2 linked regions of the Yarrowia lipolytica genome follow. The protein of the gene in region 1 interacts with the protein of each later gene in a pairwise test. Links are inferred from orthologs where the notes say so. Each region holds a gene or a part of one and is shown on either strand. Other genes may lie near its edges. The genes, in order: YALI1_F22219g and YALI1_F04238g.

The links.
Region 2: the proteins of YALI1_F22219g (region 1) and YALI1_F04238g interact in a two-hybrid assay, tested with the Schizosaccharomyces pombe proteins (2 studies listed by BioGRID). The link is inferred for Yarrowia lipolytica from reciprocal best matches to the Schizosaccharomyces pombe genes tfx1 and tsn1.

What each region holds. Positions count from the first base shown.
Region 1 is NC_090775.1:2,220,706-2,223,800, forward strand, and holds YALI1_F22219g (uncharacterized protein), read right to left. Parts: upstream 1,232-3,095; coding exon 509-1,231; downstream 1-508. Other genes in the region: YALI1_F22241g (uncharacterized protein), read right to left, coding at 1,367-3,095.
Region 2 is NC_090775.1:421,983-425,134, forward strand, and holds YALI1_F04238g (uncharacterized protein), read left to right. Parts: upstream 1-1,863; coding exon 1,864-2,622; downstream 2,623-3,152. Other genes in the region: YALI1_F04211g (uncharacterized protein), read left to right, coding at 1-528; YALI1_F04236g (uncharacterized protein), read right to left, coding at 725-1,717. UniProt on the Schizosaccharomyces pombe protein: DNA-binding protein that specifically recognizes consensus sequences at the breakpoint junctions in chromosomal translocations. Selectively binds single-stranded d(GT)n and d(GTT)n microsatellite repeats.

The sequences.
Region 1 (3,095 bases):
GGACTGTAGTTAAATAGCGATACAACTGTGCACGACAAGGTGTAGTGTACCAGTGTAAATGAGGACAGCGTTGAGACGTTTATATATGGCCGGAATTGAACACAGTGGTATTGAGGAATAGTGATGGCTATGTTCCTCTGATTAACCAGGTCATATACTATCAATACTATCGTAGACACTATCGTAGGTACAGTATGTACTTATATTTGTACTTATAGTAGATTCTCCCACCTAGTTCAATTGGAGATAAATTACTATATATGGAAAGAAGAAGGAGCAGTATTAAACTGGGAAGTTGGTCCTGACATTTATATGAAGATCTGTGTGAGTAAAGTAGCTGTTTGTATCTGAAATGGATATTCATTGCTGTACAACTACTCATCGTGCTCATTCAGTACTGTGGCCACCAGTAGTCAATCTCCGTAAACATGCCATTGTTATATTCAAAATGCTATAAACATCCTCGAGTACCTTCGATACCGTCTCTATCATAATTCATCTTTTCTCTTCAGACAACTTCACTAACCTGCAAGCTCTGATCGTACAAGAGTCTCTCCAGCTTAGCCAGACTCTGCTGGAACACCTCTATCTTCTTGACCAGGTTTGGATCACCTGTGAGCACGAAGACAGAGTACTCGAACTCCCGCAGTAACGCCACAATTGGCAATCCATGTGCTTTGTTCAGAGTTCCGTATCTCATTAGCTCACCGGTCAGATCAAACAGACCAGAAATGTAGTCTCTAGGATGGACATATACATCAATGTTGTGTTGTTTGATGATCTCATGCAGCTCTTCCATGGTCATGATCTGGCCCCTTTCAAGCCAGAACTGGAAAGACATGGCTTCAATCATCTCCTCCGAAGCTCCAGACACCTGCCGAGAGTATTTCCAGTACGCGTTTGTGCTGTTGCCAACTAAACTGTTGATCTCGGCGAACTTGGCAGCAATCAGCTTGTACTGAGACGTCAGGGTCGCCTGTACGTCTGGAGCCAATGAGAGCGGCTCCTGGCCATTCTTTTTGACCCTGTGAAGTGCAAAAATGATTTTCTTGCTGGCTGCCGTCACGTCTCGCGAAATGTTGATGACCTGAGACCGCTCATCCTGAGAGATGTCGAGGCGTGTCTTGAATTGGAGAAAAAAGTTTTTGGCCGTTTCTTCCGTGCTGGATTCGATTTTGGCCACCTTGACGCCCTCCTCGACTTCTGTTTCTGTGTTTCGTTTCAGTGACATGTCGTGAAGAAATATTTAGCCTCCATGCAGGAACTTGTGTAAGGTGCATGCAACGAACCCAGCACAACCCAGTCAGACTCAGAACTACAAGATTTCATTATTGCAACTCAGACTATACAAATACAATAAATACTTTTAATTATGTGCAATCTGACGGTCAATCTCGCCGATTTCCGTCTGAAGGGAAACCTCCTCGACTGTCTTGACCAACTCCTTGGTACACTTGGTAAGATCAAACGAAAGACCAGCAAGCCGCTGCTTGAACTGCTTGGGAGGGTACTCGGCTCCGGGCTTAACGAACTTGTCGTCCTTGAAGATCATCTTCATTCTATCCGTGCAGGCCCGCAGATCCTGGCAAATCCAAGTGCCATTCTCCTTAAGCAGATGGTTTCGAGTCTGGGCCATGGACTGAGAAGTGGCATCCACCATGCATAGCACAACCTTGCAAATGGCTCGAGAGTGAGCGGAGATGGCAATCATGTTGGAATTGCCCTTGATGGCCGTCAGCAGATTCTGAATAGCCTCGATGACTTCTACACACTGCTCCTCAAGGTAATATTGCAGATCCTCCACGGTGTTGTCGGGATCTTCACCATCGAATTTGACGGCCTTGGGCAGATAAATGCCCAGATCCGCAGCAATGATCTGCTCGTCCTCGGACTCGGACTCTGACTCGTCCTCATCATCCTCTTCGTCACTGTCCTCCTCTTCGCTGCTCTCCAGCTCACTGCCGTCCTCACCACTCTCGATCTCCTCAGAGTGGCCCTCAAACTGATGTTGAGCCACTTTGACGGGGGGAACATGCCCATCATCAATCTCACTGATTTCACTGGTGAGAGACTCGCGAGGCTGAGGCGCATCCTGCACAGAAGTGACAGAATGGGTCAGTGGAGTGCTGTGATTGTCGTAGTGGTGACCCTCGTGATCCTCGCCGCCAAGAAGAGTGTCGTAGTCTTCTCGAGACTTGGGTGAATCAACACCTCGGGGCTTGACATTGCCATCGTCGCTCATCTGAGTGAGCTCCGTAGTATCATCCTGGTTCTCAGACATGTTTGACACATGAGAAATGTCAGGCGACTGGCTCACAACTTCCCGAAGTGCACTGGGAAGCTCAAAAGTGGCCTGAGGATCGAAAGACTCCTGGGGATGAAAGGCACCAGGAGAAGACATTGAAGTGGCAGAAGAGTCCAGAGCAGGGGAAGCAATGGCAGGAGAGGCGTACGACTTGCCAAGGGCCGAAGCAACACCAGTACCGGCCATGGAAGCGCCCACAACAGCAGTAGCGGCCATGGCTGCAGTGCTGAGCTCGTTGGGGGTTGGTGCATGACCATCGACCCCACTGGAAGCCACATGGGGCTGAATAGACTCTGTGTGAGCATGAACAGGCTCAAAGTGAGCATCCTGAAAGTCATCTTCCTCCACTTCCTCGTCGTCATGCTCGTCGTCATCCCCGTCTCCAACAACAGCAATAGCGCGGGTTTCCTCGTCAGCACGCTTCTCAGCAGCTCGAAGTTCCTGAGCAGACACGTAGTCGTATCGCTGAATTTCGTGGAGAGGACCGTCGAAAGTTTCAGGCTCAGCAGGACCGTCCTCACCGTTGGGATGACAATCAAAGTATTCCTTGTTGGAACCAGAGTACACATTCTGCCCAATGGAGTATCCATGTCCCTCTTCGGCACCGTGCTCACGGGCATTGTTCATCTCACGAGCCTTGTCGAGAACACGGTCCTGGTCCAGAGTTCGGGGCTCCACGTCTGCCTGATGAGACGTGAAGTTGAGAGCCTGGCTCTGGCCCGCTGCTTGCAAATCCCGAGGCTTGAGCTGAAGACCAGATTCGGCATCCAGCTCTCGAGGATGGAAATCA
Region 2 (3,152 bases), about 1.8 Mb from region 1:
GTTCTTACCCGGCAAGTCGACTCCTTCACCACTACGCCCAGTGAAGACGATTTGGCCCGAAACCAGACGTGCATCATCTGCTTTGAAGACATGGAGCTCGTGGAGGAGCCCAAGCAACTGGTGCCTAAAAAGCTGTCGTGCGGTCACGTGCTCCACAACGGCTGTTTGAAGCACTGGCTCGAGAGGTCCAAGCTCTGTCCTACATGCCGACGAAACGTCTTCACTGCTCCAGAGGTGGTGGCCACCACTACCGTGGCCCAGGTTACACAAGTCACAGTTCCCGTGGCTCCGCAGGTTGCAGATCACCCCGCGTGGGTGGAGCAGGCTGTGCAGTCACAAAGCAGCTCTACCTCTGAGTCGTCATCAAACGACGCTCATGCCCACCACAAGCTCAAGCTCCGACAAAGTGCCATTGAGGCGGGTGTGCATGACTCGTGGGAAGTCTTTCCGACCCGGCGAAACAACAAAAACCAGGTGGAGCTGTGTTTGGGAGAGGGAAGATGGGCCGTTCTTGAAACTGTCTATTAGTATATAGTATTTATTGAGTGAGTGTTTGAGAGCGGAGCTCTACAACACGTTCAGCACGGATCCAGTAGTTATAAAATGATAAAACTGCTCAGATTTCTTTGATAGTGACAAGAGTCACAAGTACACGTGATCAAGTGGCGTTTAAGTGTTTTTATGGTCATTGTTGTATGTAGCGAGTAGGACCAAGACCGTTATTTCACTGTAGCATCTGCCGAACATTGATATTCACCCTCTTTGTGTCCAGCCAGTCCTGGTACGGACTATTCAAATCGGGAGAAGTGTTTGAAAACACCTTTCCAATGCCATGGTACGCATGTCTCGACTTGCCGCCCATAACAATGACATCTCCAGACCTCAGCATGAGACAGAGAGGAGGAGCCAGACTGTTTTCGCTGTCATCGTATCGGTTGAGACCCACGTAAAAAATTGCGTCCAAGCCTATTGACACACTGACCAGGTCGTCTTGAGACAGTTCAGCTACGTCTTGGTGAGGAGAGAGAATGTCTCCGGGACTGTAGAAGTTGATGATAGCAGCTTCGGGGTTTATAGAGAACAAAGGACGGCTCAGAAGCTCGTAGAGGTTCTTGGGAAAATATGGGAACCCTTCTGTGCCGGGAATAAAGCTCGGGTACGCTTTTGTAGTCCAGTTGTACTGTCCTCCGAGGGTGACCCATCGTAACTGTTTGTTCTTGATCTTGTCTCTTGATGTGGGCTTTCCTCCTTCTCTATGTAGTATTTTGGCGTGAGGATTTTCGTTGTTGAATAGGTTGAAAGGCCGCGGAATGTCGTAGAACAAGTCCAGGTTATTGAGATGTTCTTTTGGTGGTAGGTACTGCTCGATAGTCTCTGTCACCAGGCGTGACTGGACTGCTGGAGGCATCAGGTTGGGGTATATGAGTAGCCCTGGAAGTTCTTCGACTGTGTAGTAATGTTTGGGTGGAGCGAAGTCAACTTGCGTCTGTGCAAAGGTCTCGAATCTGTTTTTTAGACCCACTGATTCGGCATCAAACTGCTCTTGTTGTATCGTGTAGTGTGGAGATGAGTATGATTTGTAGGATGAAAACACGTCTGGGCTGTGTAGTGCGTCTTCATGGCTGATGTGTCGGTGTGATTTGTAGTATGGTCTAAAGAGATCGTTTGCTGGCGCTGGCGACGGGGATAGCGACGGCCGTGGTGTTTCCAGGGTCATTCTAGTGTTTGTACTAGCTCGAGATAATCATCCGACTTCTTCTACTCCACCACCTGCATGAATGGTGCACTTTATTTTTCACTGCATGATATCTGGAAGTATTATCTAAAAGTTTGGATCGATCCTTTCAAACTCAACATATCACCATGGACTGGCTCAGTGAAGTGCAAAAGCTCAACGACCAGAACTCGCAGAACGTCACCCGGCTGAACGAAGAGATCGACAAGCTAGATCTGACGCTCAAGAAGGCTCAGATTGTAGTAGGACGAGCTCACACTGTGGCCCCCACCAAGTTTTATCTCCAGCCTCTGCTTGAAGACCCCATCTACGCAGAGATTGCAGAAAAGTGTCAGGAGCTGGCGACTACCGCGTCTCAATGGCAGTTTTACAGATACAACAACATGTACGGCGGCTGTTTCCAGCGGGCTGTGTTTGTGACTCTGCTACGACACTTTCTGGCCAACTGGGTGGACACTGACATGGCTATTGTGGTCTCCAACCCCTCCAATTGGCAGTCACTGGTGGCCGCCACCCCCCTAGGACCTGATCTAGTGTCCAAGCAGCTTGGAGTGCCGTTTTTGACCGAGCTGGAGGCTGGAAATGAAAACACGTGCCATCTGACCGACTACGACTACCTGCTGGGTATCGTGACCATGATCAACGAGCTTTCTCGACTTGCATTCAACTCCGTTACGGCCATTGCCTCGTATAACGAGAGCCACGACACCAAGTTGCCATTTGTGTTCCCTCAGTACCTTCTTGCATTCATTAAGAACACTCATGCTGGCCTCATGGTGCTGAATCTGAAGAATGATAAACTGCGAAGAAGTTATGATTCTATCAAATATGATGTGAAGAAGGTGGAGGAGATTATCTATGATTTGACCGTGAGACGGTTGGTCTAAAGACGGTTTCTCCAGGATGTGATTGCTGAAGAGCGTCTGAAAGAAAGAAGAAAAGATAACACGAGAAAACACCAACGCTACAGCCGTTTTTAGAGAGCTGACTATGAAAGACTGGTAACTAATGACTACCGTGCATATTTCAATCAATAATATCAAGAAAACCTATTGGTCTTTAGTCATACACATCTATCATAATGATAACCAGGTTATGTATATTTCTCGTACAGTGCCATATGCAACTACAGTTCAAGTACACTCATAGTGGCCCCCTTATAAAAGCTAGGAAGCTACAAGTAGTCAGATACTGGGATCTTAAAGGAGCTCTTCGAACTTGGATACTCTCCGCGAAACATCAGTATAAGAGCTCTGACCACTCGTACATGGTAGGAGATCTGTTACCCCCTAACAAGGAAAGCACACAGTAGTATCTGTTTCTAAGTAGAAGCAGCCTCCATAAAGTGTTGAAATTGAAAGGACGGGATCATCCGTATCTTAACCTGCTGCAAGTATCGTACTGTTTCGTCTCTTCT